4 linked regions of the Canis lupus familiaris genome follow. The protein of the gene in region 3 purifies or fractionates together with the protein of the main gene of each other region. This does not show direct contact. Links are inferred from orthologs where the notes say so. Each region holds a gene or a part of one and is shown on either strand. Other genes may lie near its edges.

Evidence for each region. The genes of interacting proteins can lie anywhere in the genome.
Region 1: the proteins of POLR1C (region 3) and POLR1F purify together in Homo sapiens (affinity purification with mass spectrometry; 3 studies listed by BioGRID and IntAct, counting the BioPlex papers as one, with this or other methods). This does not show direct contact. The link is inferred for Canis lupus familiaris from reciprocal best matches to the Homo sapiens genes POLR1C and POLR1F.
Region 2: the proteins of POLR1C (region 3) and POLR3C purify together in Homo sapiens (affinity purification with mass spectrometry; 5 studies listed by BioGRID and IntAct, counting the BioPlex papers as one, with this or other methods). This does not show direct contact. The link is inferred for Canis lupus familiaris from reciprocal best matches to the Homo sapiens genes POLR1C and POLR3C.
Region 4: the proteins of POLR1C (region 3) and POLR3H purify together in Homo sapiens (affinity purification with mass spectrometry; 5 studies listed by BioGRID and IntAct, counting the BioPlex papers as one, with this or other methods). This does not show direct contact. The link is inferred for Canis lupus familiaris from reciprocal best matches to the Homo sapiens genes POLR1C and POLR3H.

Annotation. Positions count from the first base shown.
Region 1 is NC_049235.1:33,912,379-33,916,528, reverse strand, and holds the start of POLR1F (DNA-directed RNA polymerase I subunit RPA43), read left to right. Parts: upstream 1-1,350; 5' UTR 1,351-1,400; coding exon 1,401-1,642; intron 1,643-4,150. UniProt on the Homo sapiens protein: Component of RNA polymerase I (Pol I), a DNA-dependent RNA polymerase which synthesizes ribosomal RNA precursors using the four ribonucleoside triphosphates as substrates.
Region 2 is NC_049238.1:59,290,189-59,294,171, reverse strand, and holds the start of POLR3C (DNA-directed RNA polymerase III subunit RPC3), read right to left. Parts: upstream 2,801-3,983; 5' UTR 2,670-2,800; intron 2,343-2,669; coding exon of another isoform or gene 2,241-2,342; exon of another isoform or gene 2,152-2,240; intron 1,903-2,151; exon of another isoform or gene 1,769-1,902; intron 748-1,768; 5' UTR 728-747; coding exon 581-727; intron 1-580. Other genes in the region: E3 ubiquitin-protein ligase RNF115, read left to right, coding at 2,241-2,342. UniProt on the Homo sapiens protein: DNA-dependent RNA polymerase catalyzes the transcription of DNA into RNA using the four ribonucleoside triphosphates as substrates.
Region 3 is NC_049233.1:12,166,452-12,170,547, reverse strand, and holds the start of POLR1C (DNA-directed RNA polymerases I and III subunit RPAC1), read right to left. Parts: upstream 2,801-4,096; 5' UTR 2,710-2,800; coding exon 2,641-2,709; intron 2,517-2,640; coding exon 2,445-2,516; intron 1,070-2,444; coding exon 962-1,069; intron 741-961; coding exon 608-740; intron 332-607; coding exon 212-331; intron 124-211; coding exon 1-123. Other genes in the region: protein YIPF3, read left to right, coding at 3,021-3,101, 3,724-3,921. UniProt on the Homo sapiens protein: DNA-dependent RNA polymerase catalyzes the transcription of DNA into RNA using the four ribonucleoside triphosphates as substrates.
Region 4 is NC_049231.1:24,684,336-24,688,463, forward strand, and holds the start of POLR3H (DNA-directed RNA polymerase III subunit RPC8), read left to right. Parts: upstream 1-1,328; 5' UTR 1,329-1,544; intron 1,545-1,643; 5' UTR 1,644-1,661; coding exon 1,662-1,772; intron 1,773-4,128.

The DNA of each region.
Region 1 (4,150 bases), on a different chromosome or scaffold from region 3:
ATTCATATTTTCCCAGGGAGCAGAAAGTGATGGAAAAGAGAGGTTGCAAGGTGAAAGGGAATCAATGAACTCGGGTGGTGGCTAGCAGAAAAGGTAAAGTGGGGATTGTGATAAATGGGACTCCGGGGCTGGCAGCAGATCCCTATATGGTCTTGTAAGTACCTTAGCCATATTAAGGAGTCTGTGTTACCCTGAGAAACCTGGGGCGCCCATGGGAACAAGTCATGGTTCTATTTGTGTTTGGGAGAAGGGGCTCCCGGGGGTCCTCTTGACCATCAGGACTAAGCTTCCACAGGCACTTCTGCGGTTTGGGAAGTGAGGACAGACAGAAGTATCCCCAATAGGCCGATGTTTCCGCCGTGGACCCCACAAGCCGTGGGGCCGACTCGATATTTGAGGGTACAAGAGAGGCTCCTAGGGGACCAGCTGAGCTGAGCCCTTTGGAAAGTGGTAAGATCTCTTGAGTTAGTTGTTACAGGCTGAGCAGAGAGTCCAGACGGGAGAGAGAGATGATGGGTTGATTTTCAGATGTCTCGCAGTTGAGGCATCTGGGCTGCATTTTAGGACTGGATTCCCTGCAGAAAATACATGCCCTAAAATTTTAAAGTTTATTATTTGTATTGTCCACGCTGGCAAAATTTACCAGACCACGTTATTACTGGAAACTATCAAAGTGCGAACCCCTATTAAGTCTACATATTAAATCCAAAAAAGAGGGGATCCCTGGGTGGTGCAGCGGTTTAGTGCCTGCCTTTGGCCCAGGGCACGATCCTGGAGACCCGGGATCGAATCCCACATCAGGCTCCTGGTGCATGGAGCCTGCTTCTCCCTCTGCCTGTGTCTCTGCCTCTCTCTCTCTCTCTCTCTCTCTCTCTCTCTCTCTCTCTCTGTAACTATCATAAATAAAAAAATTAAAAAAAAAAAAACAAAAAAAAAAAAAACAAAAAAGACGTTACGGGGAATCCCCTGGGTGGCTCAGCGGTTTGGCGCCGCCTTCAGCCCAGGGCGTGACCCTGGAGACCTGGGATCGAGACCCGCGTCGGGCTCCCTGCGAGGAGCCTGCTTCTCCCTCTGCCTGTGTCTCTCATGAATAAATAAATAAATAAAATATTAAAAAAAAAAAAAAGGACGTTAGCGGACGGTTTGGCTGCCCCGAGGAGAGGAGGTGGTGGCCGGGCCTGCAGCACGCTCCGGACTTGAGCCGCGGCTCTCCGCTCCCGCCGCCGTCCCGCAGGCGGAAAAGCGGCTGCCCTCTGCTGGTCACAAGCGCGTAACGCGACTCAAGGAGAGCAATTTCCTAGGGGCGGGCCGGCGGGTGGATGACGTGGAACCCGGGCGCCCGCAGGAGGCGGCGGCGCGTGCGTCAGCCGTGGGCGCCGCGGGAAAGCTGGCCGAAGCGCATGGCTGCGGGTTGCTGCGAGTCTCCGCCGCCTAAGGCGGCCTCTGAGGGGCCGGCCGGCGTGTTGCCTTGCCTAGAGCTTCCGACCTACGCGGCGGCTTGTGCGCTGGTGAGTAGCCGTTACTCCTGCCTGGTGGCGGGGCCGCACCGAAGACACATCGCGCTTTCGCCGCGCTACCTTCACCGGAAACGCACGGGTATCCGGGAACAGCTGGACGCGGAGCTGCTGCGCTATTCCGAAAGGTACCGGCCCCTCGGGCCCTTCCTGCGTGCGCCGGCGCACGGGCGGGGGTAGCGACGAGGTAGCAGAAGAGGCGTGAGGGGGCAGGAACGCCCTGGCCACCTGGACGCCCTCGGGACTCTTCTTCGGGCCCGGAAGGCCGGTACCTGCCTAGTCGGTCCATGTAACAGGCAGGAAGGGGGACGGGCTAGAGGAGCTTGCTCTATGGCGTTCAGGGGGAAGAATAGAGCAGGGGCCTAGAAACCCCGTCGGCCCGGGTGCCCCCGCCCCTCCCCCCGCAGAGGGAGAAGCAGGCTCCACGCGGGGAGCGCGACGTGGGGCTCGATCCCGGGACTCCAGGGTCACGCCCCGGGCTGCGGGCGGCGCTAGACCGCTGGGCCACACGGGCTGCCCGAGAGATACTTCTGCTGGGTTCTCTTGCTTGGGACCTGATCAGGGACGAGAAAAGTACTGTGTTTTTATTTATTTATTTATTCATTCATTCATTCATTCATTCATTCATGATAGAGAGGCAGAGGGAGAAGCAGGCTCCATGCAGGGAGCCCGACACGGGACTCGATCCGGGGACCCCAGGATCACGCTCTGGGCTGAAGGCAGGCGCTAAACCGCTGAACCACCCAGGGATGCCCCCTTTGTTTTGTTTTTAAGAGCAGTTTAATTAATCTAACTGGCCATTCTGTTGGGCTTGGGGGTGAAAAACCTTTGTGGTTCGTTTAATGTGTTCAGAAGAAACGGAGTTACAAGAACGGAGGGTCAAAGGAAGGGGGCATGTGTACTTTAATATTGCAATAGGGCTGCTTTGCCTCAAAAGCAAAGGTTCCGGAGCTGGGACAAGTGGAATTCCTGGGGATTCCTTACTGCACTTCAGAAATTTCATGACATCCTCCCCCCACCCCCACCCCCCTCCTCGGGAAATTTGCTGTCCGTGTTCTAGGTCAAAGTATCCAAAGTGTTCCCTTTCTCCAGGGATCCTGAACAGGTTAAGAAGCAAGCAAGTCTAGGATGTACGGCTCATTCCAAGCACCAGCACCCTTGTGTGGTGGCTGTTTTATGTACTAGGGACTTAGGATTTAAAAACAAAGAAAAAACAAGATCCCTGTTTCAAGAAACTGTAAGCTCTAGTAAAGATATAAATGTCAGATAAATCGAATGAAATGTTAAAATTTGACAGAGGTCTAAAGTTATATTAAGAGAAAGAGTAGTGAATTTGATATTAGGACCTCTGAGATGGTAGTATTCAAGGCATAAAAAGTGTAACGTAAACGGATAGTAGATAAAAATAGACTGCTTTGGTCAGAGAATTGTAAGTACTATATAATTGGAGTAAGATTTATGTTAAGAGGAAAGAAAGTGTGTGCAGTTGAAGAGAGCAGAGGCAGCGTGGGGGATCACTCAGGATGTACATTTTGCTCTTTCCTTCTTATCTACTAGGTTTTTTTTTCCTCTTTGCTTAAGCAGGCTTGGCGCTTGGTCCTCCTAGTGCCCTCCAGTTCTGAAATTTGGTGCACTCTGGAGAGAGTAGTGCATATCCGATCTCTGGGACATGATCAGATACACAGTTGAAGAAGAAACCACGCTTGATAGCATTAGCTGATGGCTTGAGTGAGGCTGTAGACATGGAGACCAATTAAGAGATTGTTACAACTGTCCAAGAGAAAATGACTAGAGAGTATGGAATTGAGAGTTATTAAGGATATAAAAGTGGTCATAAAATCTGGAAAGAGGCATTGTTTGATATACTTACTACTTTCTGGAACCAATCAGTGCTTCCACTTGACAGGCTAGGAGGAAGCCACCTGAAGTGTCCCAAGTCCGAGCCATTACCCCAGAGATATAAGGAACCCATGGACAGTGTGGCCTTATGGAGCAGGTTGCGCTCTGAACAAATGAGGACTGCCCACCACACCCTCCCCTCCCCCACCCCCCAGTACCACTCTGGGTAGTGGGCTACCCCAGTGTGATAAAGACTCGGACTTAGGGCAAATAAAGCAGCACACATTGAACTATACATTTCTAATTAGGGACGAAACCTTGAACTGTAATGTCAATCATTTATCGTGTATAGGTAGATTTACAGACTTTGGCGCCATCAGGAGGAATCAGGAAGACTTGTTTCACTTTGTTTGAGAAATGAGGAAAACCAGAGTGTTGGGAAGTGGAGGAGGGACAATAAAGTATCCCCCAAACTGAGAAGGCACTTTGAGATTTGAAAATGAAGTAGGTGACTCCATACATTTTACACACCCTTCGATTCTGGGTAATTTACTGACATAGGGGACTGGACATGTGATTATCCTGCAGCTGCACAGCTATTCTCCACAAAGTTTGGGCCTTAGTTCACATTTACAGAGTACAAAGGGGTGTGCAGAAGGCATTTTGGTTAGGTCAGAGGTCTAACACTTAACAGACTTTCTGGTGCCACGTGTGCTCCAGAAGAGGGGGAGGAAAGTGTGTTACCTATAGTAGTTATCTAAACAACTTTAGGGAAAATCAGAACAACTTGTATTCTG
Region 2 (3,983 bases), on a different chromosome or scaffold from region 3:
ACATGTGAATGGAAGAAAACAGTAAGATTCCTCCCTCTGACACTCATTTCCTCTGATCATTCAAAGTATAATGTGGGGCACCTGGGTGGTTCAGTTGGTTAAGCATCTGACTCTTGATTTCAGCTCAGGTCATGATCTCAGGGTTTTGACATAGAGCCCCTACATCAAGACAAAGGCTGAGGGTGGAGCCTGCTTCAGATTCTTTCTCACCCTAGCCGGAATATGTGTGTGTGTGCACAGCTTCTCTCTAAAAACAAAACAAAAAAACCTTTCGAAGTACAATGTACTTCCCCTCCGTTATTCTTATTCCTTAAAGGTAGCACTGAGATTAATAGACTTATTATGAATAAGCAAGGTGTAGCATATTAGGAGCAAAGATTTGCCTAAGAAGCCATGATGAACCAGGAATACCTTGAGAGCAGAACCTTGAGGCCTACATCTTATCCCCCCCTCATTCCCCAAATAACACTGTTCTGATCCTAGGGCAGACTTTCTCTCTTTTTTTGTTTTGTGGGGTGGGGAGGAATAATATTTAAAGGTAGATAAAGAATGAAAGCAAATTAATGCCGTCCACACATACCTGATCCAGTGATGTTCCTGTGTCATGGGCAATTACTCTTAGTGGCTGGCTGCCAGTCCTGATTAGGTGGACTCCAATTTTTTCTACAATCTCTCCAAAATGCTCTTGTAGCAACAAAGAGCAAAGTTTAATTTCTGCTTGAGTCATTGTACTGAGAAGTCTCAGAGCTAGAGGGAAAAAAGGCCATATGATGGATAGTTTTCCTCTTTTGTTGGAAGTAGTGCAAATTCGTGTACTTTCTAGATGGCAATTTTAACAGTATATCTTTAAAAAATTTCATTTTAGATACTGTCTCAAGAAAATAAAAGTCACTGTAATTTCCCTTATTATACTGATATGCTGGAAACAACTGAATGTCTAACAATAGGAATTAACTCAATAAATGATGGCATACCCATACATTGGAATACTAGCCACCATTTAAAACAAAGTATAATACATATGAACATAGAAAATTGTTCCTTAAGTGAAAGAAGCAGGTCACAAAGCAAAACGTAGAGGACAATTAAATCATAATGAAAAACAAACAAACAAAACCGCAAGAAAAATGCATAGAAAAAAAGACTGGAAGACTATATGTCAAATTTACTTTAATGGGATTATGAGTGATTCTAATTTTCTTTAAAAGTTGGGTGTAGATGATTTTGCGATGTCACGGACTTTAGATTCAATACTCCATTGCTTGGAAGAATTAAGGCCACTGTTCACGGCCGTTGGGAATGAACAGGTAGTGTCACCTCAGTCCATAAAGGAAATGACAACTTAGAAGAAGAAAAGGAGGCAAAGGAAAGCTTCTCAACTGGGTGTTTCAAACAGGAGATGAAGTATGTTGTCTGAAAGGCAGTATTTAATTCTGAAATTTCTACTCCTTGAGAAAGTAAACATACACAGAAACAGACACAGCTGACCCTAAAGTATAATTACTTATTATCCCAAGGGCTACCAAGCATCGAGTTGTTCAGTTAGTCTCCCAAATCCCCAGAGGCCAAGTCTCCGCCTCTCAGCTCTATATTCCCATCCGCATGTGCTTGGGGAAGCATCCCGGACCCTGTCCCATCCTGCAACAGGACTTCCAGGGAGCCTACTTAGCTCCCGGCTCTTCACTCCCTTCACGCAGGTCCCCGTTCCAGACTCGGTCCCCTGGTCCACAGACAGGGCCGCTTCGTCAGGGGAGCATTTTCCACTAACCTCGGGGTCAACGCAATCTAACAATGCGGCTTCTTGCGGGTCCCACCGGCCGCCGGGGCAGAGGGGGAGCCCACGGCCCTCCCTCGCAGGCGGACGGGCAGCCAGGAGGAGGGAAAGGGGAACCACGCGTGCCGCTCTACCCCGGAGTTTCGGTGGTTTCCGGTGACGCTCTTTCTTTCCTCTCGCTGGAAAGCTGGAGGACCGGCGAGCCGCTGTCTGAGGAGCCGGCGGGCAGGCTGCGGCGGGCGGACTCTCCTTCCTGCGCCTCTTTGGTGCCGGGAGGCGGGCCGCGGGGTCGCCGTCCGCGCCGCCGGCTCGCTGGGCCCGGCCGACTCACGTGACCGACGCGGCCTCCGGCGGCCCGCCGCACTTAGGAAGCGGCGGCGGCCGAGGCGACGACCGCAGCCCGGAGGTAGCGGCCTGGCGGGGGACGGGCCGCTGCCCTCTCGGACGGCCGCGGCGGAAGAGAAAGATGGCGGAGGCCTCCGCGGCTGGCGCGGGCGCAGGCGCCGCTGTCGCCGCGCACCGGTTTTTCTGCCACTTTTGCAAGGGCGAGGTCAGCCCCAAACTACCGGTAAGAGCCCCGTGGCCCCTGCGCTTGGGCATCCGCGGGGATCCTTCGCCCCGCAGTCCCCGAAGGGGTCTTCAACGCCCCGCACAGCCCGGATTTTTCTGACACCAGCCTTCCAAATGCCCGCTGCCCGCTGTTTTCTGGTCTCCGGCCCCAAATCCTGGGCGTCCCGGCCCTGGCTCCAGAGCTCCCGCCCAGCCCTTTTCCCCTTCGGATGTTCCACCTGCCCCTCGCTCCCACCCGGCCCTTCACCTGCGTCGCTTCATCTTTTTTTCCTCTCGCAGCAAGTTCTGACAACTCTCCCCTTAGTTTTCTTTCACTCTTTCTTACCTTGTCTCTATCCCACAATGACCTCTCTTTCCCCCCTCTCGATATCTTCTGCACTTCTCACCTTCCTCTACGGCCTTTTTCACTTTTAATCGGACACCCCCGCCCCCCAATCCCCAGGGGAGCCAAATAGCGGATTGCTGAGGGTTGTCCCTGTTCGCTTGTCTCTAGGGAAGGAAGGAAGAAAGCGCGGAGAGAGAGAGGGTTGGAAGGTAACTGTGGGGAGGTGAGGATTTTGCTCCTCAGTGGTTTCCAGGGTTCTTGTGAAAGTGAAAACAAGTGTGCTAATGACTTGCAGACTGCCTTGTCCGTCCTATCACTATTGAAGGAAATGGCTTTAGGAAGAAGTCAGGACATGTTGTCCTGCTGCCCGTGTTTTAGCATCACCTCCCTTCCCCGCCCCGTTCCCCGATTCTGTCTCTTCACTTAATAAAAAGACCCATGATAGAATGCTGGGGACTGGCTCCTCTGACATAAGATTGGTTTTCACCAGTTTCTGCCAGATTGTCTGTTAGCCCCTGGAGAGTGGTGCAATCGTTGTGAAGAATGTGCTTCTACAGCAGGCTAGCCAGCTACAACCCTCCAAACCCAGCTCTTGTGTGTTGGGTTATAAGCTACTACAGGGAGACCCACAAGAGTGAATGTAGACTCTACCCTTGGCCAGCCATCTTTAGAATTAGTTATGGTTGTTCTTTTTCTTGGAACTATCCAGCCTCAGCCTTAAGACAGGGGGGCTATATAACAACCCACCTCTGTATTTACTGTGTCTCAGATACAGCCTGTGAGAAATCCTACTAAATGTGTCTGCATGCATGTCTTAGTTTTTAATTTTTTTTTAATTTTTATTTGTTTATGATAGTCACAGAGAGAGAGAGAGAGAGAGGCAGAGACATAGGCAGAGGGAGAAGCAGGCTCCATGCACCGGGAGCCCGACGTGGGACTCGATCCTGGGTCTCCAGGATCGCGCCCTGGGCCAAAGGCAGGCGCCAAACCGCTGCGCCACCCAGGGATCCCTGTCTTAGTTTCTAGAAACACAAATGGAGTCTAGTGAATACATGCCTCAATGGTATTTTAGCTTCTTCACCAAAAGTTGTGCTTTTTCATGCTTTTAGGGCATTTTCTTTCCATTTGCCCCACCCCATCCAGGGTCATAGTTTCATCTATGTGCTATGTTACTTTTGCCTGCTGGTTCAGCTCTGTGTGTGTGCAGGTTTTTTTGCCATGTTTCAGTGCTAAGAAGAGCAGGTGCCTTGGTGTCTTGTTTTTTGTTTTTTTGTTTGTTTGTTTTTGTTTTTTCTTTTGCTAGTGGACAGTAGA
Region 3 (4,096 bases):
CAATCTCCTGGCCAGGCCTCAGCTGAGCAATGAGGATATCATCATGCACGGGTCTGATCGTGCCCTCTGGGAAGAGGTCAGCCTGATTCCCCAGGGGCACCCATGTCATGTGCCTGGAGTACACTGGAGAAAGCACATCAGGAAAACATCAATCCTTAAAACTAGTACCCATCAAGAGGTGGGCCTTCCTACTCACCATACCACCACTCACCTTTGTGGTTCACATAGAGTTCATTGGGGTCAGAGGAATCTTTAGCAGCATGGGGGTTCCGTGTGCACCTGACTTGAAGCCGAAACTGCAGAGTATCTATCTCTGTGCCTTCATCATCCCCTGAACAAAGGATGAAAGTGGCAGCTCTTAAAGAACGACTGAGTATTTGAGTGCATTAATCTACACTTCTCATTTACTCCTCGGACAAATTTCCAATTTCAGAAGACCAGGGCAAGTGTTCACACAGATCAGAACTGATGTACCAAAACATTAGTGATTTGCTCATGGTCACAGTAATCAAGCCAGGATTTGAACGTAGGCAGTAGATCCTCTAGAATCTACTTTAGGAGACAGCTGTTCCCATTTTGCCACAATTTCGTTTTCTCAAGCGCTGACCTTGGTTCCGATACTCAAAAAGACGAGGATCAGCATGAATGGGAATAAGCCCCAAGCGATGAGCAAGGATCTCATCCTGGACAATGGATGTGTTGTTGTACACCAGGACCTTTTCCACAGCCATGGTTGGCACCTGCCCAAAAAATAAAATCATTCATCTACAGAGACCCTACAGACTCCCTATTTACTCCTACTTCCTGACACAGGGGGCCCTATTCCCAGAAAAACACCTGATGAAAAGTTCAGGAGGAATGCTCAGGAAAATGAAAGGAGCAACCTAAGAATTCTCCAAGTAAGGTGATGGCTCAGTTTCCACCCAACTCCGTCCCTGCCACCATGCCCACCAATAAATACCTCAGCTAATAAAATGCGTCGAAAAGCATTGGCAATGGCTGCATCAATTCCCACCATGTCGAACTCCAATGAGTTTTCATCCATGTGCACTACATCCACACGGAAATTCTACAGGGACAGAAAATGCACTAAATGAAGCCTTGGCCTCTGTGGAATCAATACCGTCCCTCTGGATATCCCCCAGCCCCAGCAACAATGTTCCCACTCACCCAAGAACCTCCCTTTGGCCAGATGTACCTCATAGCTGTTCCCTTCTCCCCCAATTCTTCATGAACTTCTTGAAAAGTTCCCATTTTTATCCTCTATTCATTTAAATCCTCCAACCAGACCACCCACAGAGACCATTCTACTCTGTCCTTTCTTACTAGACTCCTCCATCGGGCATTGATAGAATCCCTCCATTTTCCAACTCTGCCTTGGTTTCTGAGCACCAATCTTCTGGTTCTTTCTCCTCCAATGAATCCTTCTAAATTCACTATCTCCTACCCACTCCATAAAGTCACTATTTTCTGGATTTTTATCTCTCTCCAAAGTGACCTCAATCACGCTCATGGGTTTAACAACTATATATACAGAAAACTCCCAAATTCTCACTTCTCATCTCCTTTCAAACACACATTTTACTGGCCTGCTAGACCTCACATTCAGGAAACAATGCAGCATCATTCCCCTTCCCCAGACCTATTTTTCATCAGTAAATGGCACCACCATCCATTAAAGCAGTTCCTCAAGGTAGGTTATTTTATACTCCCTCCTCACAGCCCACATCAAAACAGTCACCAAATTTATCATGTCTCCTTTTTGCTCTACTTTCCTGATTATCATTTTAGTTCATACCTTCAACCTCAGCTCCTCTATGCAATTCTGTCACAAATCTGACTACCCTCTATGATCTTTCCCAACAGTTAAGGATGCAAATCAGATCACATCTGGCTCAGAGCTCTTCAAAACTTCCCCTATCACCTACAGTGTCTAAGATGCACTTCAATCTTGCCTAGCACTCATGCTGCCCGACTTTACATTCTAGCAATAATAAACTGGACGTTCTTGGAACACAGTTCACAAAGCCTTTATAATGTAGCTTCTAGTCTTCGTCCCCCCACCTTCACCCTTACCCTTTCTCAGATTTTACTCATCGTTCAGGGCTCAATTCAGATGTCATCTCCTGCAGGAAGGAAATCTTCCATACCGCTGCCCCGCTTTCCGTTCCAGATTAAGTGCCCCTCAGGGGTCACCCTAGTCACGACTGTCCTTTCTTATCGCTACCAACCACCTTTACATCATACTGGAGTCATTTATGCGTGCTCTTCAACAAGATTAAACATCTTGTTCGACGAACAGGGCACAGACCATGTACACGGAGGGCCTAGCATATTGCTCAATAAACGTTTTATGAACGCAGCGAATCCCACGGGCAGTTTCCAAAGCACAGGCCGCTCAGATCACACGATCCGTTCCCAATACCCTCTCCAGCCCCACCTACCTTCTCGAAGCGGTCTTGGTCCCAGGCATCATCATAGCCGGAATAGTTACCGGGAAAGTCGGTGGTATGAACCTAGACCAAAGAGAGACGAGTCTGCGAAGGGGCAGGTAGGGCAAACCCGCCCCAACTCCGATCCCAACTCATCCCTCCTGTTCCACTCTCATTTCTCTTGCCGAGTTCAAGGCCACGGGCTTACATTGCGAACCCCGAACTCCCCTAGAACCACGCGGGTCCGCATCTCTTGCACCGCCTGGGCGGCCGCCATCTTCTACCCCTCCACGTGACTAGGGCAGCAAACTGGCGCGCGCGTCCCAGTCGCCCTCCTTCGTCTCCATGGCAACGCACCGCCTCCCGGGATGTTAAATATCGCGAGATTCTGTGCAGCCTCCGTCCACGTCCCCAGCTTCCGGAAGTCGGTTTGGGCCAAACATCCGGGTTTCTCCTTTTTGCGTTCCGGCTGAACCCACCGCTCTTTTTCGCCCCTAGACATCTCCCTCCTTCAGGCCCACGTCTCTCCCACTCCTCCTCCGCGCGCGGGACTAGCGCGGGCTTCAGCGACGGGAGCCCTCGAGGGACATGGCAACTACGGCGGCGCCGGCTGGCGGCGCCCGAAGCGGGGCCGGCCCGGAATGGGGAGGGTTCGAAGAAAACATCCAGGTAATCGCCCCAGGGCTCCGGCTGCCGGCAGCCGCAGGGCCGGCAGCCGTCCTGAAGCGTCGCGGGGACTCTCCCTGGGAGCTTGGAAGTCTGCTCCATTTGCAACACTTGTCCTCTCCTTTGGCTCTTGGTGTACACGGAAGGTAGTGGGACTGGTGCTGACCTCAAAGGTCCAGACTGGTGCTCCAGCCAGAGGGCCTCGTGCCTCTGGGCCTGCCTGCTCTTGCTTTCGAGACAAGTTTGTTGGTCGATCGGGGCCAGGCATGGCGAGGGAGTGGGCGGTATTCACCGGCGCTGGCTAAAACCATGCTGTGTGCACAGCCTTGTTTGGGGATTGGAAAAGACAAAACGGGCACTTTTGCAGCCCTCTGAGGATTTGATAGGGAAGGTAGAAGAAAGACATATATGCAAGACAGGGGGTAGGTTTCCCAGGCTAGAAAAGAGAGCCAGACAACCAAGGATTCTGAGAGCAGATGAGGGGAAGAGAGTGGTATGATCTATGGTGATTCCAAGCCATATCCCCAGCAGTGGAAGAACAAAGTCCCAAATCCTGGGAGGAACGGAGGAGGACCCGCGGATGGAACAGAAAGGGCCTGCACTCTAGAAGCCATTGTCTTCACAGGGTGGGGGCTCAGCTGTGATTGACATGGAGAACATGGATGATACCTCAGGCTCCAGCTTTGAGGATATGGGTGAACTGCATCAGCGCCTGCGTGAAGAAGAAGTAGATGCTGATGCAGCTGCTGCTGAAGAAGAGGATGGGGAGTTCCTGGGCATGAAGGGCTTTAAGGGACAGCTGAGCCGGCAAGTGGCAGATCAGGTAAGCAGGATTGGATCCCTAGCAGGTGGAAAAGTATACTTAGGAAGGCCCCCAAGTGCTGGAGTTGATGTTAAAGTTCACCCCCATGTCGCCTAACCCATTAGAACTGTGTAGAAGGCCAATAGAAAGTGAGCGACAGGGACTATGGCCAAGAACCTCTCGCAGTACCTACCCA
Region 4 (4,128 bases), on a different chromosome or scaffold from region 3:
TAAGATATTTATTTATTGGGGCGCCTGAGTGACTCAGTGGTTGAGTGTTTGCCTTCAGCTCAGGTCGTGATCCCCAGGTCCTGGAATGGAGTCCTGCATTGGGCCCCCTGCATGGAGCCTGCTCCTCCCTCTGTCTGTGTCTCTGCCTCTCTGTGTATCTCTCATGAATAAATAAATAAAATCTTAAAAAAAAAGATATTTATTTGTTATTAGAGAGAGCACACGAGCAGGGGGGAGGGGTGGGGAGAAGGAGAGGGAGAAGCCGACTTCACACTGCTCATGTTGAGCAGGGAGCCCAACACAAAGCTCTTTCCCAGGACCCTGAGATCATAACCTGAGCTGAAGTCAGATGCTTAACTGACTGAGCCACCCAGGAGCCTCAATTTATTTAAGTAATTTCTACGCCCAAGGTGTGGCTCGAATCCACAACCTGGAGATCATCCCACACTCCATGGACTGAGCCAGCCAGGTGCTTCAAAGTATCAGACTTTATTATTAATTTAGTGGGAAGGTACTGGGGTTGTTTTTTGGTCCAATTCATGATCACTTTTCTTTTCTTTCTTTTTTTTAAGATTATGTATTTATATATTCATGAGAAACACAGAGAGAAATAGAGGCAGAGACACAGGCAGAAGGAGAAGCAGGCTCCGTACAGGCAGGGAGCCCCATGTGGGACTCGATCCCCAGAGCCCAGGATCACGCCCTCGGCCGGCCCAAGGCAGGCGCTAAACCGCCGAGCCACCACTGAGCCACCCAGGGATCCCCAATGATCATTTTTCAATTGAGATGTAATCTGCCTACTTAAGTGCAACGATCTTAACTGTCAAGTTTGATGCGTTGTTTTTTGTTTTTTGTTTAAGATTTTATTTTTAAGTAACCTCTATGCCCAATGTAGGGCTTGAACTCACAACCCTGTTAACAAGAGCTGCATGCCCTACTGACTGCCAGGCCCCCACCTGTGTAACCCACCCCCCTAGAAGAAGATAGGAAACATTCCTATCACCCCAGAAAGGTCCCGCCTGCTCCTTTCCAGATAAATCTCCCGCTTCCAGGGTCCTGAAGGGGTCTAAGCAAACTGTGCCGGCTTTTGAGAGGATCCCTCTGGCCGGGCGCAGCGCACCGCCCCGCCCGGGACGGAGAGGAAGAGCGACAGCCCCGCCGGGCAGGTGAGGTCGGGATCGCGCCCACGTTGCCTAGCAACCAGGAAGCGCGGTCGAAGGGCGGCCGGCTCCGCGGGGGCCCACGGGGAGGCCCCGCCCTACGTCGCGCCGCGTCGCGTTGGGGGGCGGGCAGAGGCTTCTTATTGGTCTGTTCTCCGGAAGCGACGGGATTCGGAATCTCGCCCGAAGTCGGCTGCGCGTGGGAGCGCGGTGCATGGCGGCGCGTGGCGCGTGGCGGGACCGGGTCGTGCGGCGGGTGCTCGCGCTCTCTCGCTGGAGCGAGGGCGTCTCCTGCTGAGCCTCAGTTTCCTCAGTTTGCAGAGGCTGCACACGCCCCGCACGGGGTACCCGGCGCCGCACCGCGCAGCCCCTCCGCCGGCCTGGGTGTGTGCGTGGGGGGCGCTCAGCGGCGGGGACGCGCCCGAGGGGGTTCGGGAACGCCCACCGCCCCACACGGCGCGTGACTGAGCCTCCCGCCCCCAGGGCCCCGGCGCAGGCGCGATGTTCGTCCTGGTGGAGATGGTGGACACCGTGCGGATCCCCCCGTGGCAGTTTGAGAGGAAGCTCAACGACTCCATTGCCGAGGAGCTGAACAAAAAGTTGGCCAACAAGGTACCGGGGGCCCACGGGGTCGCTGACAGGCCCTGGCACGGGAGGCCCAGCGCTGCCCTCCTGCCCGCTGCAGGCCTCCCCGGTCACGCCAAACCCTGGCCTTGGACAAGTAGCTTAACTTCTCCGAGCTCAGTTACTTCACCTGCACGTGGGATGTTGGAGTCAAAACAGAAACTGGGGAAATGCCAGATTGCACCCTGTTGGATTACCCGCTCTGGGCCTCAGCTTCCATTTGTAAAATGGAAATAATGATGGCTGTCACACACTGTGTCTGTGAAGATGGACAGTGGTTTAGAGTTAACCATCATTAAGGGGCCCCTGGGTGGCTCCGTCCCTGAAGGATCGGCCTTCAGCTCCTGATCGCAGGGTCTTGGGATTGAGCCCCACATTCAGCTCCCTGCTCAGTGAGGTGTCTGCTTCTCCCTCTCCTCCCTGCTCATGCTCTCTTGCGCTGTCTCTGTCTCGCAAATAAATAGAGTTAACCATCAGGAGATTTATTCTTTTCTTTTTTTTTAAGATTTTGTTTATTAATTCATGAGAGACACAGAGGTAGAGGGAGAAGCAGGCTCCATGCAAGGAGCGCACGCGTTCTCTCTCTCTGTTAAATATATCTTTTTTTTTAAGATTTTATTTATTGATTCATGATAGACACAGAAAGAGGCAGAGACACAGGCAGAGGGAGGAGAAGCAGGCTCTATGCAAGGAACCCGATGTGGGACTCGATCCCAGGAATCTGGGATCATGCCCTGAGCCAAAGGCAGACGCTCAACCACTGAGCCACTCAGGTGTCCCAATAAATATATATATTTTTTAAAATGAAGATTTTGGGATGCCTGACTAAACTGCTCAGCAATTTAGCGCCTGCCTTTGGCCCAGGGCGTGATCCTGGAGTCCTGGGATCCAGTCCCACATCGGGCTCCCTGCAGGGAGCTTGCTTCCCCCTCTGCCTGTGTCTCTGCCTCTTTCTCTCTCTCTCTCTTTCTGTGTCTCATGAATAAATAAATAAAATCTTTTTAAAAAATGAAGATTTTATTTATTTGAAAGAGAAAAAGAGAGAGAAAGCACAAGCACGGTGGGGGGCAGAGGGGGAGGGAGAAGCACTCTGCTGAGCAGGGAGCCTGACTTGGGACTCAATCCTAGGACCCTGGGATCATGACCTGAGCTCAAAGCAGATGCTTCACCAACAGAGCTACCCAGGTACCCTGGGGATTCATTTTTGAGAGTGGGAAAGGGCTGTGCAGAGAGAAGAGTTGGGCAGGCAAAGGAAACTGCATGTGTAAAGGCCCTGTGGCAGGAGGGAATATTTCATCCATCATAACCTGGAGGAGGACTGGTGTGGCCTGGAGAGGAAGAGAGGAGAGTAAGCTGGAAAGGTGGCAGGAGCCAAACCACATGGGGCCTGCAGGATGTCATGGCAGTATTGATTTCCATCTGTAGAATAGCAGGAGGTGATAGGCTGAGAAGGAGCAAGAGGAAGGTTGGCTGGCTTTAGACAGGAGGCCAGTCCCTTCTGTAGATAGAGGCTGAGATCATGGAAGGGAGTTGTTTGCAGCTGTTGGTGGAGAGAACTCATGAAGTCCTTAGTGATTGGCTTCCAGTTACGTTGTGAGGTAGAAGGTAGAGGGGGTCAGTGGAGGGATGAAGTGTGAGCATAGTGGTGACAGAAGGTGTGAAAAGTCCAAGAAGGTAAAAAAAGTAAAAAAAAAAAAAAAAAAAAAAAAAAACTGTTTAAAAAAAAGGGGATCCCTGGGTGGCTCAGCGGTTTAGCGCCTGCCTTTGGCCCAGGGTGCGATCCTGGAGTCCCGGGATCGAGTCCCACATCGGGCTCCTGGCATGGAGCCTGCTTCTCCCTCCTCCTGTGTTTCTGCCTCTCTCTCTCTGTGTCTATCATAAATAAATAAATTAAAAAAAAAAAAGCTGTTAAAAGTCCAAGAAGGGAATGTAGCCCTTTGGGGTATGGGTCCTTCAGGGACCTGTTCAGACGAGTCTTTTATATTAGAATCATTTGAGAGGAAGCTGCACAGAAGAGGTCTGTGGTCTGGCCAAGGGCACAGATCTTTTTTTTTTTTTTTTTTTTTAAGATTTTATTTATTTAATTATGAGAGACACACAAAGAGAGGCGGAGACACAGGCAGAGGGAGAAGCAGGCTCCATGCAGGTACCCAATGTGGGACACGATCCCATCCAGGCCTCCCAAGGGCACAGATCTTGTGCAAGGCAGCCAGGCTCTGTGGCTCATTGTGGTGAGGTCCGGCCCGGACTTGGAGTTCTCTGAGCTTCTTGCTAATCCTTGAACAGTCCTGCAGGGTGTGTATTGGGAGGTGATGACACTGGTGGCAGGTAAGCAGGCTGGTGA